Oryzias latipes: one gene and its partners. Each later gene encodes a partner of the first gene's protein in a complex. Links are inferred from orthologs where the notes say so. Each region holds a gene or a part of one and is shown in the gene's direction. Other genes may lie near its edges.

Evidence for each region.
Region 2: brpf1 (region 1) and kat6a share a complex: the UniProt entries of both Homo sapiens proteins name them as parts of the MOZ/MORF complex. The link is inferred for Oryzias latipes from reciprocal best matches to the Homo sapiens genes BRPF1 and KAT6A.
Region 3: brpf1 (region 1) and kat6b share a complex: the UniProt entries of both Homo sapiens proteins name them as parts of the MOZ/MORF complex. The link is inferred for Oryzias latipes from reciprocal best matches to the Homo sapiens genes BRPF1 and KAT6B.
Region 4: brpf1 (region 1) and ing5 share a complex: the UniProt entries of both Homo sapiens proteins name them as parts of the MOZ/MORF complex. The link is inferred for Oryzias latipes from reciprocal best matches to the Homo sapiens genes BRPF1 and ING5.

The regions. Positions count from the first base shown.
Region 1 is NC_019865.2:17,251,899-17,256,997, reverse strand, and holds the start of brpf1 (peregrin), read left to right. Parts: upstream 1-1,624; 5' UTR 1,625-1,884; intron 1,885-1,890; exon of another isoform or gene 1,891-2,231; 5' UTR 2,232-2,304; intron 2,305-2,339; exon of another isoform or gene 2,340-2,461; coding exon of another isoform or gene 2,462-2,485; intron 2,486-3,332; exon of another isoform or gene 3,333-3,993; 5' UTR 3,994-4,038; coding exon 4,039-4,775; intron 4,776-4,938; coding exon 4,939-5,099. UniProt on the Homo sapiens protein: Scaffold subunit of various histone acetyltransferase (HAT) complexes, such as the MOZ/MORF and HBO1 complexes, which have a histone H3 acetyltransferase activity.
Region 2 is NC_019867.2:24,401,113-24,405,731, forward strand, and holds part of kat6a (histone acetyltransferase KAT6A), read left to right. Parts: intron 1-260; coding exon 261-376; intron 377-1,929; coding exon 1,930-2,011; intron 2,012-2,875; coding exon 2,876-2,990; intron 2,991-3,101; coding exon 3,102-3,418; intron 3,419-3,535; exon of another isoform or gene 3,536-3,771; coding exon 3,772-3,884; exon of another isoform or gene 3,885-3,945; intron 3,946-4,177; exon of another isoform or gene 4,178-4,397; coding exon 4,398-4,513; intron 4,514-4,619. UniProt on the Homo sapiens protein: Histone acetyltransferase that acetylates lysine residues in histone H3 and histone H4 (in vitro). Component of the MOZ/MORF complex which has a histone H3 acetyltransferase activity. May act as a transcriptional coactivator for RUNX1 and RUNX2.
Region 3 is NC_019877.2:10,213,388-10,218,006, forward strand, and holds part of kat6b (histone acetyltransferase KAT6B), read left to right. Parts: 5' UTR 1-91; coding exon 92-709; intron 710-4,619. UniProt on the Homo sapiens protein: Histone acetyltransferase which may be involved in both positive and negative regulation of transcription. Required for RUNX2-dependent transcriptional activation. May be involved in cerebral cortex development.
Region 4 is NC_019862.2:3,236,133-3,241,220, forward strand, and holds the start of ing5 (inhibitor of growth protein 5), read left to right. Parts: upstream 1-1,640; 5' UTR 1,641-1,968; coding exon 1,969-2,005; exon of another isoform or gene 2,006-2,086; intron 2,087-2,146; exon of another isoform or gene 2,147-2,335; intron 2,336-4,266; coding exon 4,267-4,338; intron 4,339-4,506; coding exon 4,507-4,673; intron 4,674-4,772; coding exon 4,773-4,884; intron 4,885-4,958; coding exon 4,959-5,058; intron 5,059-5,088. Other genes in the region: plekhb2 (pleckstrin homology domain-containing family B member 2), read right to left, coding at 1-43, 250-289, 389-491, 587-739, 1,148-1,184. UniProt on the Homo sapiens protein: Component of the HBO1 complex, which specifically mediates acetylation of histone H3 at 'Lys-14' (H3K14ac) and, to a lower extent, acetylation of histone H4. Component of the MOZ/MORF complex which has a histone H3 acetyltransferase activity.

The DNA.
Region 1 (5,099 bases):
TAAACCGTTAACCTCTTAAGACTTTGCTCTGGTTTAAAATGCATCATTTTATTTCATAGTCACAGGGCCCCAGTAAGCAGAATAAACTACTGTGGTAACACAACCCAAAATGTGATTTAAGAGGTCAATTGGAAACTAACTATTCAATGATTTATTTATAATGGAATACTTTTCATTTCTTCACACAGAACAAAAATACATTTAAATACATTTTTTTTAACTTACTGTGAATTTCATATTTGAAGACCAGAACTATAACAAAGAAAATGTCTCTCTGAAAAGAAAAAAAAAACCTTTTGTGAATATTAAATCTGGGTTCATTTGAAACTTTACATTTTATTTACAATTTAATGCTCACTGTAAACTTCTAAATTTAAATCACGAGACCAAAACAGTAACACAAAATTATCATATTCAGAAGTACAAAACACTTTTTTTCTTTTTATCTTTTTTATTTTTATTCATTTTATTTTATTTTTCATTAAAAAAAAAGTCTTCCCTTCTCATTTGGCCTTGGAGGCTCAGAAGGTCAAGTGTTTGTTACCAAAGGTTTACAACGACAAGTAGTCCTTAGAAAGGCGCCGGGGGTCCCATATTATTGATTGGATGACAGGATCCTGCGGACTGGTAGAAATGTGCATGCGGGCCACATGTGGCCAGACTTTGGACATGCATGCCTAACTGTATTTATTTGATGATGAAGAGTTTACAATTGACAGTCAAATTAAAAATTGTAATGCTTTACTTTGTAAATTATTTAACCATCTATTTTAAAAAAAATATGTAGCTTTGCATATTTCTACAGCAGATTTACATGGGATTTTGTTTTGCCTACACTAGGACAACTGTAAAATTCACAACATTTAGAAATAGAGAAATAATATTCATCTTCATTTTTACTAGACATTGCACTGTACAATAATATCTAACGCAAGCCACAGATTGGCAAATTTAACTAGGTCTGATAGCAAAATACAGAATAACTAGTAGGCATTGAGCATGAAAGGATGGAGTTCGTAATAACTTTTTTTTAATTGAACTTCAAACAAACATATACCCATAGCTGCAACAGAAAGACATACAAAGAATAAAATACAAACAAAAAAAATGAAAAATAACATTAACATTGTAGATCACAATACCAGGGATTGTCATACAACATGCGATCTTCAATGAAAATAGACAATTTTATAGCATTTTTGTTTTTTTTTATTAATTTCAGAGATTTAAAATATAAACTGATCTCTTTATTAAATGTATTGAATAATGGTTTGGTTTTTGAAAATCTGCTCTTATGAATGAAAAATTTCCCAGATATTTATAAAGTATTGAATGCCAAATCAAATAGATTATCACCAGAAACTACTCCAAATAATATGATGTGCTGTTCGTAATAACTAACAGGCTCACAGTTGAAATTCAAACACAGGCACTACACAAGACGCAAAGTCGTAAAATGGCTTGCTCTCGATTGGATCTTCTCTGAGATGAGCCCGCCCAATCTAACTGTAACAACCAATCAGCTACTCATACTCAACACAACCACCAATCAGAATGGAGCTCCCGCCCCCAGTATCCCTTTGTCTGATCCAATCAAAGAAAACGGTCGAATTAGATCCTGCTTTCCGTGTCGAATGTGTCGAACTGCCTCCGCTGCGCAGCGTTACTGCAATGGTTGCCCCTTTTGTTCATCCGTATTCCTGAATTGTTTAATACACAATGAAAGTACCTGGATATTTTATTGTTTCATAAAAACATCCCACTGCAATTACGATCTCTGTGATCTCATCTGGGATTTTTTTTAAATCAATTAAACTCGAACTGCTATCCTGAGCTGCTGTGAGGTTTCCGAAGCACGCAGTCTTTCTTGAGGAACGTGGAGTTGTAAGTGTTAATAACGCCAGTCATGAACTACAATGTTAACGTAATACTGTTATGTGGGGAATCTGTTCACATTTAAAGTTCTGAGTGGGAGCCAGTAGGCGACAACTTAGCAATTATCGCAATCCATCTCAGTCTATCATGTCCTGAAAACAAACTGACGTTCGTCAGACCCTTCGTCAAAAAGAAGTACGCACGGGCTTCCTTGGTTACTAGTAAAACACTCAAAAGACACAGTATCACAGAAAATAACATTTTTACTAGCATTAGTTTGGTCAAGCGTTTGAATTCCCCACTATTGTTTGTTAGTCTCACAAAACCCGATGTTAAACTGTCAAATCGCTGCCCAGTCTCCGGAATCACCAGGGTGAGGTCGTTATGGAGGGAAACACCGGGGTTGAATGACTCCAGCCAGCCTGCAGTGTACGTAACTCCAAATACTTTCCAGAATTGTGTATTTGTAGTTCTACCGAGATGCTCTGTGGTGTTTACGTTGACATGTCTTTCTTTGTTTCGCTAACGTTTACCACGGGAACTCAGCTACAGTTTTAGCAAAGCGAATTAAACGTCACCGTGAAGTATGCAACTGAAAAGCAACACAACAGTAAGGACTAAAGTAAAGATGGCTCTGCTCAATGTTTAATTGCGTTTGTGTTTATGGAGGCTACGTTACAGTTATTGGCGCTATTCGCTTCGTGACCTAATGTTGTTTGCTAGCTGTTGTTAGCATGATGGCTAATAGCGCTTTCTGTTGTCATTGTTTGTGGAGGCGACTGAAAACGCTAGTTAACAAGATTAAAGCTACGTGTTTGAGTTTCTCTTAGAAATATAAACTCTGTTATTTTAATTGTTTTTTTTATTTTGTTACTGGATTTTAATTTATTTTCCTTGTGTTTCCTTTAGCCTGTGAACAGTGGTGTATTGCTGTAGTTTTATTGTAATGGTCACCTCAGCTTCACTGAAGATGTAAGGGTCGTAGTAATGGCACTGAAATGCACCTGTTACTGGGAGACATTTGCAACTATTTATTTGTCACTACAACTACGGGAAGCCTCTTGGTTACATGACTTCACCGTACCCAGCTCACGAGGATGTATTAAAGCAATCAACAAAAATCATTTCCTGCTAAAAATCCCACCAATTTAAGTTAATTTGCAAGTTTTCACATAAACTTTTGATTTATTGTTACAATAACTCTAAGACGTAGTTTAACTAGGGGTGTAACGATTCCTTTTTAACAATGATTCGATCCATTTAAAGATTTGTGGTTGAAGATACGATTTATAGTCAATATAGGTTCATTTTGAACAATCCCGTTCACTGACCTAAAGTTGATCCAGGACAACTTTAGCCAGAAATTCAAGCAGTGTGACTCAGACATAAATACCTGGGTACTGAACAGGTGAAGTTTTCCAGATTTCTTGCAAGATAATTAAGTGTAAATGAAACAAACACGTTAACAAGAATCAATGGCAAATCCGTTCACATTTTAGTTTCATAAAGTTCAGCCCACTGTTGTTTTTTTCACGTAAAATATTACAAACAGAACATTATTAGACCATTCGACCACACTGCATGGTCACATCTTTGCAAAGTCATAGTATTTCTACACTATAATGATGCCATAATCCATTTTTGCTGACATAACGCAAGTTGACATTCTCTGATGCACTTGGTTGTTTTTACGTTATAGGAAAATAAACCCACCGTGCCTCAGTCCAAATAGTATTTTCCAATATCGATATAATCAATTTATTTCATTTTGAAATTGTTTTATAATGGTAAAGGTCAATTCGGTTGGATTGTAGGAATACAAAATCCATTCATCGATTAATCATTGCACCCCTTGGTTTAACCAACAAATCCTTTGATCAAAGTTTGAGTTAAACGTTAAAAGTTACCACTTCACATAGCTGATTTCGCAGACAACTGACAAATCTAATAATTTGTATTAATCATCAAAGGAAATACACAAATATTTACACCATATCAATATAGGTTTCTCAAATTTAAAAGAAAAAAGTTAGTTACTCTTCTGATATGTTGTACTATCACCTAAAGACATCTGGTCAGTGTTACATCTTGGCTCCCATTTGTGTTTTCCTGTTACAGATGTAAACTTGAGCATCATATGTCCCAGCAGTGTCTGTTGGCACAATGGGGCTGGATTTTGATGTAAAGACATTCTGTCACAATCTTAGGGCCACCAAGCCCCCTTATGAGTGTCCTGTGGAGACTTGTCGTAAGGTCTACAAGAGCTACAGTGGCATTGAGTATCACCTGTACCATTATGACCATGACAATCCAACTCCTGCACAGACTATGCCACAGAAGAAGAGGAAAGGACGGCCCCCTCGAGCCTCTCTGACTGGTTCAGCGGATACGGATGATGGCGGAGGCAATGGAGGACAGGGTCATGAAGGAAACACGCCGGGGAGCCCCAGCCGATCAGAGCACTCCCACTCTCCGGGGAGGGAGACCATGACCTATGCCCAGGCACAGAGCATGGTCGAACTGGAGATCCAAGGCCGTGTTCATCGCATTAGCATCTTCGAAAACATTGATGTGGTGTCAGAGGAGGACAGCGATGCTGATGATGCGCTGCCATCTGGAACTGGCAATAGCACGGGAGGTGTGTGTAACGGCGGCGACGGTGGAGGTGGAGGCAGTGAAGTGGGAGGGAGCTGCAAAGACCGTTCTGATATCACATCCTCCAACGGGGCCAAAGCAACACCAAAGACTGGGAAGCATAAGAGCAAAGCAAAGAAGAAGGATGGCTCATCTCATCACCACAACTCTCAGTCTGGTCCTGCCGTCAAACTCCCAGAAGCTGTGTTTAGAGAACTGGACCAAGATAGACCCGATGCCCCCCCTCGACCATCATCTTACTACAGGTAAGTGTTCAGGACCCCAATGGGATTCATAACTATTTGCAAAGCATACCTGTTTGATGCTGTTAGACATTTATTTTCCATTCTCCATGTGCTAGAACTGTTATCCGGTTCATTTTGGCTCATCTTAACCACATTAACCCTCCCTACCGATTCTATTCCTCAGGTATATTGATAAGTCAGCAGAGGAGCTGGATGAGGAGGTCGAGTATGATATTGATGAGGAGGATTATATCTGGCTTGGTATCATGAACGATAAGCGGCGGCGTGATGGCGTGCCCCCCATCCCTCAGGAGGTCTTTGAGTACCTCATGGACCGATTGGAGA
Region 2 (4,619 bases), on another chromosome or scaffold:
CCGCAGACGAGGTCGTCTTTGTTTGCCACTCCTCCAAACCAGCAAAAGAGCATCTGTGACAGACTGTCATATTTGTTTGTAAAATTTTCCTCACTGCCAGGTTTGATAGACCGAAGGCCCCCTCCTCCCCCTCTTCTTCCTCTACTCCTTCATTTTTAAATGACACAAGTGGGTCAGAGCTGTCTGTCAGCTGCAGCCAGAAGGCAGTGTGCGTCGCTGATGCGCTCCTTTCTCCTTGTGCTGTCTTTCTGCACCTCCAGGCCACCCGTCCTGTCTGAAGTTCTCACCGGAGCTCACGGCGCGAGTCAAGGCTCTGTGGTGGCAGTGCATCGAGTGTAAGACCTGCAGCAGCTGTCAGGATCAAGGAAAGAATGCGGTGAGCGGTGGAAGGAACACGCAGAAGCCCTGATGTCTCTCTCAGGCGTCACATGACGACATCCGTGGTCCTGCTTTTGAGCTTAATTGTCAGCTTCTGCGTGGTTTCACCCATTTAAGCTTCCTTTAGATGAGTCGTTTGAAGAGATCTTTATCTCTGAGACTAACGGCGTGACAGAAAAGCCTCCATTTGACTGTTTTACCGTTTAGAAATATGTGCATATCGTTTGTCATCTTATTTATTGACTTGTTAGCAGTAGAATGTAACCATATTTTCAACCCTATAAAGCACACTTAAAAACAACAGTGCGCCCTTATATATAGATTTCTTTTGGTTGTGCTTATTGATGTCAAAACGATTTTGAGAGGTGCACAGCACTCTGTCAAAATGTCCGTCAGTTTTCTTTTTTTTACGAAATCCAAACACGGTTGGGTTTTATTGTAATACTTATAACATGTCGCGTGTTACAAATATGTTTTCGAGTTACTGTGAACGTAGCTAATAAAGTTTTATGTCAATTATTGACGGTGGGATACTAGGACTTTGACGAGTGTACGAATAAGTCGGCTAATCGCGATCTGCTCTCGAAAATTACACAGTACAAATATTTGTGACATCACTGATTCGTGATCTTTAGAAATATATGTAAAAGTGTATTAAAAACACAAATCGGGATTGATGTATTTATTGCTCTTAAATGTTAAATAATGTTGGATTTTAAGTTTCTGAACCAAAAAAAAAGAAAGCCGAATGCGCAGCGCCACAGTCATCAAAATAAAGTGTCAGTGAAGCTTCTCTTTTTCAAAATAAAACTCTCCTGTGTGTTTATGAAGTTTAAAAAAATGAGACTAAAGTTCAGTTTACTGACATAAGATCTGAAAAACGAATGAGCTTTTTACAGCGGAGTGTTTACATTCTTCTCATTGCGGTTACTCTTCAGCAGCAGTCGCATTTAACTTCATTCCAGTCGATTCTGAAGCGGAGAAAAGCAGCCTCAAGCTGATATGCAAGCACTGCACAGTAGCCATGACATAATCGCCAGGAAGAAAAGCAGCTTTTCAGACCGGCTTTGCGTCGATATGCTATGCTTCGGAACGTAAAGTGTTGCAGAACTTTGAGGATGGAAGACTGTGGAAAAAAATTTCAGGATTTGTTGTTATTTGATCCAAATCAACAAGGATGCTCATGTTACTGCTGAACGTAACCAGAGACCTGCCAAAAAAAAACTTAAGTGACAAACAGCGTTTGTTTGTATCCCAATCTCTGGGTTTTTATCAATTGTGTTGAATCTGATCTCCTGTTCTAGATAAAAGCCTAAGTGATGGTGACTGAATACATATCATTTTAATTTCCAAACGGCCAGTTAAAAGACAAACTAATAAAGCAAATGTACAATCAGACTCAAAAGTAAGAATGGTAGTTTGATCTGTGAATCGAATCGGATCACCGCCCAAGTAACGATCCCCAGCCGTATGCCATAAATAGTGTGAACAGTACAGTCCATCTGAGGAAGTGGGACGCACTAACATGAATGTATTTGTGTGTGTGAGCAGGACAACATGCTCTTCTGCGACTCCTGTGACCGCGGCTTCCACATGGAGTGCTGCGACCCCCCACTCACGCGGATGCCTAAAGGTAAATCATCAGCAAAATCCATTAACAAGACCAAAACACACGTGGTGGGGTATTTCGAAAGGAAGTTTTTGAAATTATGGGATGGCCACAGGACCTACAGCTTTGCAGCTGTTTGGCAGTATTCACATTTTTCTACGAAATGAGGAAAAAAAGTTCTGCTTAAGGGATCTTCACAAAATTTCAGACAGGCGCCGTCAGATCTATTGTTTTGACCTTTGACCTCAGCCAGAGGCTACCATCTTGACTTAACAAAAGATCACCTTTAGTGGCTTTTACAAATTTAAACTCCTCCTAGGGATTTCATTCTCTCGCCTCCTAACTCCTCGAGCATCTTCTGGAAGCTACAGTGAAAACAAATGTTGGTTTCAAAGTTTGTAGATTTTCAACAGCTTTGGAAGGCAAACTCTGAAAAGTGAAAGAATCCCTGGCTATTCAAGCTCAACAATATACAGTATGAACATTTAGGAATGTGGGCGTGGCTAACAAATACTTCCATTGTCAAGGAAATCCAAAAATTAATTTTTAATTACATGTAACCTTTGGGAACCCCAGGCGATCAAAAAAAGATTGTTGCTATGGAAATAAAATCTACAGAAAAGTGGCATTTATTTATTTATTTATTATGAATTTGGCACATGCATCTCTCACCAGGATGGCAAAGGGCGAAGGGGAGATTGAAGGGTGTGCAGCAGCCGTTCAGGCAGTAAGGGCGGGTCAAAATGGGGCGGCAAGGGCCGTTAGCGCCTCGTATAACGCCACTGGCCGCTTTAGTCCAGTTCTGATCTGCTGCAGAAATACTTTCATATCTCGCTTTTCTTTGCGGTGGATGACCTGAGGGTTTTCTTTCCCCCTTTTCTGTCCCAGGTATGTGGATTTGCCAAATCTGCCAACCCAGGAAAAAAGGAAAGACTCTTTTACACGAAAAGGCGGCGCAGATCAAACGGCGCTACAACGCACCTCTGGGCCGGCCAAAGTCCAGGTACGGAGCCAGGTTCATGCACTTGTCACATCCGAGTGCGAATAAACTGCTGAAGGGATGCAGCTTCATACCTCTGCAGGAGTTCAGGGTTCTCTGATCTATCTCCCACAGGCCGGGGCGGCCCTTCAAGAAGCTTGGGGGGCGCGGCCGCAGGAAGCGGTCGGTCTCGGCGAACTCCTCCTCCAGCTCCTCCTGTGAGGGGTACCCGGGCGACGACCGGCTGCTCTTCTCCATGCGAGGCGACGACGAGCAGAGCGGCCTGCGCTACAACAGCAAGACCAAGGGCCTCATCGACGCCCTCACCAAGTTCTTCACGCCGTCGCCGGAGGGCCGCAAGGCCCGCCAGGAGGTGGTTGACTACTCGCAGCAGTGTCGCATTCGAAAGAAAGCGAGTCGCAAAGGAGAAGGGGACGACAGGGGAGGTGAGGGTGAGCACTTTTTCTGAAGTTTTCCCCTCATCAGAACCCCATGTACCAAACCCTCGGCTGTGTTTACGGCAACAGGAAGTCAAACGCTGTGATCACACAGGAAAGAAGGAGCTTCAGTCAGCATTGTTTGTTTTATTCAAACTTCTTTTTGCTAATCCTTTTAAATGAAGCAAGAGAACATTTTGATTTCCAAATGAGCAAAATTGGCAGAAGAAACGCAAAACAGGACAAAAGAATGTGTTTTAAATTCTGCAGTTTCTGGATAATCATTTTAAGCTAGCATTGGCCAAACATGGTTAGCTTAAACCGACCTCCCGTTCATCAGCTTTGCCTTCATTTCCTTTGATGTCCAGACAATCAGGATGGCAGCGACTGGCGGGAAGACGACGACAAACTCCCCGGCCACGAGAACCTGACGGAGAAGGATATCGAGCTGTTCCGACACATCCAGGAGTTGGCGTTACAGGTACGCCGAGTGAACCGAGGAGGAACAAAGCAGCATCTGGCTTTAGACAGGAAAACGGCATCTGAAAGAGCAGGAGGTGACAGGAAGTCAAGTTGGATCGCAGGTTTTTCTCTGCAAAGACACAGATCAGCTGTTGGATTCAGCATGGATAATTGATCCAGATAACAAGGACAGCTGCTTTGCCACAGGAACTCTTTTGAGTTTGGCATTCTTCTCATGACTGATAGGAAATACGGCAAGATCGGAAAGACACAGAGGCCTGACAGTTTAAGCGCACTAAATAAATGAATTACCTTGATGTCAGAGGCTTATGTGCTGCAGTAAAGTCAGGCGAAGGTGGGCGTTCTGCCAGCTATTGAACTGTGAAAGGTCAGCGTGATTATCCAGGCTTAGTGGCAGTGATTCAGAGTTACGTGTTTGTCATAAATCTTACCACAATGCTGTGAAGAGGCTCCAGGGAAATGTTCATTTCCCTGTTTTCCCCATCCTCATATTCATGCTCAACCCCAACAGAAAGTGGGCGTGACGGGTCCGCCTGACCCTCAGATGCGCTGCCCAGCCGTCATCGAGTTTGGCAAGTTTGAAATCCAGACTTGGTATTCATCTCCCTACCCGCAGGAATACAGCAGGTAAGTTAACATACTTCAAAACTGCACATCAACACAAAGCTGTTAGTGAACAGGTCTGTTAACCCAGGGGGGAGGAGGGGGTGTCACGGACCTCTGCCGGTCCGTG
Region 3 (4,619 bases), on another chromosome or scaffold:
ACCTCCTTGAGGATGTGGATGTACCCAGTTTTCACCTGCAGAAAGGGGGAACCTTTATGGATCGCACATTTTTGAAGTGAATTGCTCAATCATGGTAAAACTTGCAAATCCTCTGTACACGGAGTGGATTCTTGAAGCAATACAGAAAATCAAAAGGCAGAAGCAAAGGCCCTCGGAGGAAAGAATTTGCCATGCGGTGGCCACGTTGCATGGACTGGACAAGAAGACCATCCTTGAACAGTTGGAATTAAGCGTTCTTGATGGCTCTATCCTCAAGGTTACAAATAAGGGGAGCACCTCCTACAAGGACCCCGGGAACCTGGGAAGACTCGGATCGGTTTTGCCTGCGAACACATCTGTGCCATCAAAGGATTCTATATGGGAATCGAGCGATCTGCGCCACATCGATTGGAATAAAATACTTAGGAGGGCCATCGATGGTCTGGATGATACCCACGGCTCCTCTCTAAAGAACATCGAGCGCTATCTGAGGAATCAGGACGACCTGTCAAACGTTGTTGATAACCCTGCTTTCCGGCAGAGGTTGCGACTGGCAGCAAAGCGGTCCGTCAATAACGGCAGATTGTTGAAGAACGGTCCGAGGTATAAGTTCAGCCATGGTGGCGTGGAGGGAAGGAGCTCCAGGTGTCCAAGTGCTTCCCCCTTGCTCCTGTCATTGGTGACGCTCCTCCCACACGAACGAGACCAGGTAAACTCACCCCATTCATGCTATATTTGAAGCAGACGTGTTTAACAAAAGCACGCCATGTCACAAGAACGAAACTTGACATCTCAATCGAATTAGTTGGGCACATGGATTGTTAAACTTTCAAAATAAAGTTTTTAAAAAAAATCACCTAGTGGAGCTGTCTCCCCAAAATTGGTCTCCAAAATAAGAGGGCTTAGATATTCTGAAAGTAATGCTGACAGTGTGTGGTAGGCAGTCTGCTGTAGGCTTCCCACAGGTTATGTAACTCTAGCCTAATGACCTTAGAGGATGTGGCCACTTGTCTTGCCAGTTCTATAGCATCTGCGAGGAGAATCTGAATATTTTATTGGAAACTTGTGCAATTGTGAAAAGGGAAGGCAGATTATTCTCAGACTGGAGTTCAGGTCCTGACCCTTGTGCAAGTCGAGCCGCCCCGGAGAGGAAATGGAACCATGTAAACAAACTCACAGGTTCAATTGTTTCTCTGTCTCTGCACCGCTGACTCATACTTTTCCATCATGCTTAGCACCAAATGGTGTTTGATTTAAAAAAAAAAAAAATGTTGGTGCAAACTGCTTTAAAAACTTAAAAAAAAACAACTTTGAGTAATTTTTTTTAAGGTGTTATGCATCAGTTCTGCAGCTGCATCAATGTGGCCCTGCTCTTCAGCAGTTTCACAGTGAATAATCAGGAAGCGACACCTTGATACAGCACCCACAACTGTGACTGCATCTGTGGTCAGGCCAAAAGTGAAACCGAGAACTGTTTAGAGACATAGCGTCCTCCACTGACTCTCATAGTTGAGGAAAGGCGCGCTGTTTTCCATTTGGAACATTTCAACCTATTGCTCCCAGCCTGATGACATCACCCCCTCCAAACACTTCAGGTTTAACATTGACTTCAAAGGACGTTTAGTTGTGAAGGCACCAAAATAGTGTGTGTGCTGAGAATAAGAGATACTTTGAGGTTTAAAGGCAAAGAAGAGCAGTCTTGGTTTAGAGTTTATTAGATTTTGAAAAGACTCTGGCAGGAACAAAAGCGAGGAATGGGAGGTTTTTTTTTTTTTTTTTTCCCCCCCTGCTGTGTTATGCAACCACTTCAGCTTGCTCTCTTTCTACCAGCAATGTTCTAATAGGACCCCACCCCCTCACTCAGGACAGCCTGCTCTTTTGAAGCAGCATAATTTCCTGTAATGTACTTAATTTAGAATCCCCAAGTAAATCATCAGCATCTCTTCAGCCGCCGTTTGTCTCGCTGTTTTTCTCGTTTCTTTTTTGGCCTCGCACCGATTCTAAATTGGTATTGATTTTTATCACCAGACCTAAAAATATTCCTAATGGAAATTAATCCACTTCCAGGAACAGACTTCATTGCTCTGACTGCAGACAGTGTGTTGGGAAACCGCATTAAGATGCGTTCTTTAGAAGAAAAAAAAACACTTCCATCACTGGGGGAAGTTGTAGATAACTTCTACTGAGAGCTTTCAAAAGTTCTCCATTCATCACCAGCATATATGATCAAAAGGTAAATATTTCCAGACTTGTTGATGCGCGTCTGTTTGTTTAGCATCTTGACTGGAAGTGAAAGCTTTCCAGTAATAGCAGAGGCTATCAGCTCAAACGCACTAAAGTGTGATAACAGAAATCTGCTGTCAAGGAATCAGGCTTGCGCCGTTTGACCTTTAACGATCCCTCAACTAACAGACATTTATACTTTCTTTGCAGATAGACCACCATAAAATGTTAAAACCTTATATTTAGGGTAAAAAAAAAAATCACAAAACTGTATAGAGAATGACAAAAATTTGATTCTAGGCGCGTGCAGCCCGAATGTCTTCAGTCAGCTTTTGAGCTACGAACACACCAAAAATATGAAGCTCGTTCAAAAATTCACTAATGGCACATTTTTGAACACGCATTTAGCGCGTGGTACTCACACTGGACTAGCAGGGAGGGGCTTCCTTATCTTTCTGTTTTTCTCCTGTTTACTAGCTCATGTCCGCCACCTACTGTTGGAAGAGGCTTGGTGCAAAATGTCAAAGCGGTGTAAATTTCGTGACCCTTTCTTCAGGCTCTTCCTTTCTGAGCTCTGTTCCAATAAATGAAAGACTTGGAGTCGTAATGTTCCATCTGGGCACAAACCATTATTATAAACGTCTCTTCCATGATCAATCTTCATACGGTTGGCACTTCTGTTTATCAAAAGGGACGCCATCCATTCTTCACTACCAAATCCAAGTTCCTGATTGGTTAAAATTGGACCTGGTTTAACTTTCAGTGTCCGTTCAGTGGCCACGCTGTATGTAGAGCGCGAAAATGGGCTAAAAAATGTGCGTAGGTACTAGGGCTGCACGATATGAGGAAAACTCGCGATATGCGATATTAGAGATTAAAATTGCGATCATGATATAATTTGCGATATGTAAACAAATAGCAAAATAACCAAATAACCATTCCCATTACATTGCAACAGTTTAAAAATTATACTCCAAATGTCACTCGTCGACATAGGTGACAAACATCTAACATAATAGGCCTCCATCCGATTGGTCAAATGCATAAAGGGATTTATTTGATTCGTTAAATGGTTCAAGCTGACATAAGATTCTTTTAGCACATTTAAGGCTTACGATTTATTGCGATATTTGCCGTCTTTTGCGATATGCATATTGCAGAGCTGGATTTCGCGATAACAATAAATTTGCGGTACATTGTGCAGGCCTAGTAGGTACACATGAACACGAGAGTTGGTAGAAGTCCGAAATGCGCATTTACTTGAGCTTACATAGACTTTTATTGAAAGTGATTGCTTGAACGGGCGATGTGAATGTATATATTTTTTATTTTTATTAATATAATCCACAACATTAGGCTGGTTCGGATTTCTTTCCGGCCACATTTGGGACTTTAGCTTTGTAATGACTCCAACTCAAAGACACATTCAAATATTGACCTGGCAGATTGGGAAATGAAGTAATCCTGGATGTGGCAGCAAACCACCTCCTCTCACCCGCACGACTAATTAAAACAACCAGGAACAATGACCAAATTGCTGCTGCATCACTTCAGCACCCCCCCTTGGGGTTCATTTGGATGTTGGGACAGATTGAAAGTGCACTCGTGCCTTGTGTTTGTCGACAAATGAGAGGAGGAAAAAAAAAGGGGAGAATGAAAGATCTCTCCTGATTTCAGCAAAAGGCCATCTGCAGGTCAACACCAATGGTGATTTGGAAGATGCAAATTTGGTTGGTGACCTGCGTCACAGAAAACAGGAACTAATTATGCCCATCCCTGGAGTACAGTTTAAGGCTGCAGTCAACTGGGAGGGCCCGAGTGTGTAAACTAATGAGGAGGTGGGTTATTTATGGTCACACCCAGTCAAGTGTTGTTTTTCTGTTCAGAACTTTCACCAGCCTGCTCTTCTTGCACTCCCTGGGGCTTTTGAAAGGGATACCGCATGTAAAGTCAACAATAGGAAGTAAAAGCGTCCCCCTGAGATCAGTCTTTACTGGTAACTGTATAAAGCTATGGCTTGGCTCTGCCCCCTCCACCCCCTGGTCTATGTGGGAGTCCTCCTAAACCTCTGAACTGGTCCATAAGCCCTTAAATGAGTGTTTGTCCACAACATTTACAGTGGATCATGGCAGCAACAATGAGTGTATGTTATATTATTGAGGTAATTTGATTACATGCTAGTTAATCCTTTCATGCTGGAGTGCAAGCTTTAAGAATTGGATTAAGCCCTTAAACTACGATTACCCAAGATCACTTACACATTCAGATGGAGCGGATAAAGGAGGTGGATCTCAAACGCAGCATATCTCTGAGGATGAGATTAATTTATTATTCATTTCTAGTCTGTGAAGACTCAGCTCTTTTTTTCCTTTTCTTTTTATTCTCCGAGCTTCTAC
Region 4 (5,088 bases), on another chromosome or scaffold:
CCATGACTTCCTGTGTGAAGCCGACCTGCGGGGCTGCAACCACCTACACACGTCAGAGCAACAAAGGTTTCCCTTAAACCGTAACTCTGTCAGAAACGCCAGACAGAAAACGCTCACAGGTCTAAACTACAAGCTTCTGTTCCACTTGATCCCATCTGATTTCGTGTTCATTTTTAGATCAAATAAAAAAAAAAAAAAAAAATCAAGCTTAGTTTGAGTCTAAACGTATCAGACGATGAAAAATCTTACCATGTTAATCCTGGCATCTTGAAGCGCCATGGTCCATGCTCTGTGTTAAGAAGCAGGAAAAGACGTCAGTCTCACTAAAAGCTTCTCCACAGAACCCAAGAACTACATTTGATCAAAGGTGACACCTAAAGAGTCTTACAGAGCATCATCTGCACTGTCAGCACACAGGCTGATGACACGCCCGTCCCTGCACACTATCTGCAGCAAGGCATCACGGGACTTCCCCTCCGGGGGGGTCAGATCTGACAGGAAATGCAGGAAGGCCCACAATAAAAAAACTCAACGTTTAACTTTAAGGGTCAGCAACTGTCACAGTATCGCGGATGCTGAAATTCACCCTGGCATGCAGCAGAGTTGCGGATGTTGATGCAGCTGACTCTCATGTGGATGTCATCCTCCATGTCCCGCCTCTGCTGATCATTGTAGAACACCAGGCGTCCGTCAGCCCATAGGTCAAACCAGTTTCTCTTCCAGCGGCGCAGGATAGTACCTGCGATGAAAAGAAGCAGCTTCCATCAGCATCTGAACCTCTTTTTTATTACAATTAAATATAACTAATTGTCCAAAACATACAGAACAATAACAATGAGGATGCACATGCATTACAAAACATACATCACAAAAAATTAAAAATGTTCCAGGGCAATATTTAATTATTACTGTTTTGTTCTAATAAGATTCTAATTCTTTTGTTGTTACAGGGATTATTTTTAGAAACTTTAGATTTGTGAATATCAAACTTACCAAATATAATAAATTAATTTTCATCTGAAATTTGAAAACAACGTTGAAATGTATAAAACATTTTTTGTAATATTTCAGTTCCAAAATAGGTGACTCAATGTGTCTAGCTGCTCTTTGGGATGACCTGCATAGGCCGCGCATGCGCGTGACTCACTCTGTCTGTGAAGCCAACCGCTCTTCACCACAGCCATCTGAGAAGACACAACCAAACATGCTGGAAGTGAAACTCAGCAGAACCCCAAAAACGGACTAAATCGACAACAAGGCTCGATGTGACCTGAAATATGTTAGCAGTAGCTACAACTTCCGCTTTGACATGTTACATACATTCTACTAGATGCAGAAAAATTTCCCCAAAGCCGCATTTTAGCCGCAGCGTAAATTTAATACCAACAAAACAGTTTGGAGGCTCAAGCAGTCATAGATGCTATATGGTTGACGTACGTACGTAACCGCGCGTGTGACTCGACAATTCGTCAAAAGGCAAAAAATAATTTGCAACCAGCACGAGATGAGAAGCTTCTGGAGCGGACGGAGGGACCTGCCTGTTCCGTTAGCCGGACCGGACGGACGGACAGAGAGGCTGCAGGAGCCCCGCCCACCGAGACGTTTGTTTTGAATGACGCAACGCACCAGCTGACCGAGCTGGAAAGTGCTGGTAATCTGAGCGGGAACGCGCATGTGAAGGTCTCGCTTGGTCTGCGGGGTGGTGGAGCTGCCAGATCTTCGGTCGGTTTCCCGGTGTTTGGAGCGGAGCGCAGGTCGACTGTCTGCGGAAATACCGTCTAACTACAATCAGTCGAATGCTCTGGAGACGAGACGGGAAGAGAAAAGTTTGAGCGGCGGCGGAGCGGAAGTCCTACAACGACAGGGACCGACGGGCGACCCGGAGTTACAAAACAAACTTAGCGTAGCTTGGTTTGGCTAGTAGTTTGGAAGCTAAAGAGCGCGCGGGAGCCGAACTCTCCGTCAACAATGGCTACTGCTATATACCTGGAGCACTACCTTGACAGTGAGTATCCGTAGAAGGTCCTGGAGGAGTTTTGGTTCGGGCTTCTTCGGTCTTTTTCGTCGCCGTGTGGCTGCGGGTAGTTTAGCAGACGGTAAAGACTAAAGTGTGTGGTAGTAGCACACCTAAACTGATTATACGTACATGTTTGTGACGTCACTTGGGTTGACTTGTGATGGCTTCACAGATTCACGCCGGAGCAGAAATATACTGAGACGAAACCCTTTTAGTTTAGTATTTCCATTGGAGTCACGTTTTTATTTATCTATTTTTATTATTGAGGGATTTTTAACTCAAGAACTGTTTTTCAACCCCGCGTGAAGGCGCTTCCGTTTGCTGCCGGGACTTCATGATGTGCAGCCTGTGCAAACCGCCTTTTTGGTTACTGCGCAGGCCCGGTGCCCCCCTGACTCCACGCCCTGCAGACGAGCCCTTCCAGCTGACGCTGGGTGGCGCTAGAGCGCTGTGCATCCTGTCAGCCCCACCATGCTGAGCACGACCATGATGTGGAACAGGGGCCACCTACATCCTTAGAGCAGCGTTTTTTAACCAGTGTGCCGTGGGAGATGGTCATGTGTGCCGTGGGAAATTGCCCTCATTCACTGATCTAAAAACATTTACCATCTCCAGGATTTCAGCTCAAAAGATCGGATACGTCTCAGATTCAGGACCACATACCCAAGGGGCCTGGGTCACATTTGAAAAGATGGGATCTGCGTCGTCCAGACTGTCATGAAAAGATCAGATACAGGTCACAGGGGGGCAAAAAAATCGGAATTGGGTCGTTTCAGTCTGTGGTGTGAACGTAGCCTTTGACGTCTTGAAACCACAACGAACACGCATCAAACAGTTTTTAAATATTTTAACTTAACTTTTATTACATCTTTTAGAAGAAACAGCTGCAGCTTCCAGCTTTTTCTGCCACAATTATCACAGAAATGCATGTGAGATTGTGGAGGGACTGTACATCAATACAGACTAAGAGTTTCTCCCTTTTCTTTATTTTTGGATGCTGGTGTGCCGCGGGATTTTTGTCAAGGTTTAAGTGTCCCGTGGCTCAAAAAAAGTTGAAAAACACTGATCTAGAGAGCAAGACTAGAGAAAGCCAGAAGGAGCTGCATTTCCAGAAGAAAATGCAAGGTTTTAACGTATATTGCTTAATGAAAATGAAACTAAAAGGGTAAGAATGGGCACAAAATAAAAAATTAAATAAAGAAATGTTCAAAGTTGACCATAAGTAAAGTAAAAACGGCAAAATAATAAAGATATTTTTGTGAAAAATGCCAGACAAGTTTCTGCACCCAGGATTCCCCATGTATTTCAATGGAGGCAAAAATCATGGAATATCTGGAAAAGTTCAAGGATTTGAAGGACCAAAAGTCATAACTGGAAAAAGCTGAAAGAGCTGAATAGTTAAAATAGCTGAAAAATTGTAGAAGGAGATAAGCGGCCAAAAATGTCAGAAGATACTATGATAAAGAAAAAAAGAGAAACAGGAAAATAATGGGTTTATTTATAGCACTTAACCAATAAAAGAAGAGAATCCAGACGTCAACATAAACCTCTATGCGTGGTCTTTCAGCTACAGCTTGTTTGAGAAGCCATAACACACTGATGTATACATCCCTTTGAAACTTCAAATGTCTTTGAAAACATGTTTTTGGTGGCGGATCTTTCTTTATTTCTTACTCGTTTTCCTGAGTCCTGGTGGAAAATGCCAATTAATCGCAAATTTATCGATGTATCGTGATTTCAAGCTGTGCAATATCCATATCGCAAAAGTCAGCGACAATTTCAATAAATGGTAAACCTTAAATGTGCTAAAACAATCTTATGGCAACGTGAACTATTTAATGAATTGAATAAATCTCTTTATCCATTTGACCAATCAGATGGAGCCCTTCCTGTTGTTGACCAATCAGATGGAGCTTTCATGTTAGATGTTGCCCTCTTAATTAGACGAAGGTCATTTGGAGAATAATTTGAGGTATTTTGACCCTTATTTAAATTATACTTTGCAGTGAAATGGAAACGTTTTTGTTGTTTTGCTATTTGTTCATTTATCGCAAGTTATATCGTCATCGAATATTGATCACTAATATCCCATATTGCGGGTTTTCCTCATATCGTGCAGCCCTATTTGATACTATCTGTTATATTTGGTGACCGGCTGTTCTGGGGCAGAACAGGCATGTCTCCAGGGGAAACTACCCAATGTCTGTCCAGCGTCATGATCCCATGTCTCCCTGTGTTTACTTCTCCAGGTATTGAGAACCTGCCGTGTGAGCTGCAAAGGAACTTCACGTTAATGCGGGACCTGGACAGCAGAACTGAAGGTAGGGGTTTTATCCATTAACCTTTTAGCCAAAGGCGACAGAAAAGGAACTTTTAGAAGATGATGGCTTCTTCACTGAAACCCATCATCTGTGGTAGACATAGAGGTTTTTCTGCTTTCCTTTGAGTTGTCCGTCGTTGTGGCTCAAAACATTTCTGCTCCTCTGCAGAAAAGAAAGGAGAGATTGACAGACTGGCAGAAGAATATATATCCAACGTGAAGAACCTGGCTTCAGAGCAGAGAGTGGAACATCTACAGAAGATTCAGAACGCCTACAGCAAGTGCAAGGAGTTCAGTGACGACAAAGTTCAGCTCGCCATGCAAACGTATGAAATGGTGAGCCTTCATGACACGCCTGACAACACGCCACCTTTTTCCTCTCAAGCATGCCTTGTGAACAGAGCCGTTTGAAAGACGTCTTCTTCTGTTCTAAAGGTGGACAAACACATCCGCAGGCTGGATGCAGACCTGGCCCGCTTTGAGAACGAGCTGAAGGAGAAGCTGGAGCTGACCGGCTACGACAGCACCGACAGCAGAACCTTGAAAAGTAAATCCTCCCGCTGGAACCTTCTCGGCCAAAGTTTGCATTGGGGGGCTTATTGTTTGTGACGTTTGACTCAGAAGGTGACTCACGGGGGCAGCGGGACAAGCGTGGATCCAGAGGACGGGGAAAGAAAGGTTCTGACGACGACTCTCCCAAAAAGAAGAAGATGAAAATCAGGTAATGTTGGTTTTTGTAAAGCTCGGGGGG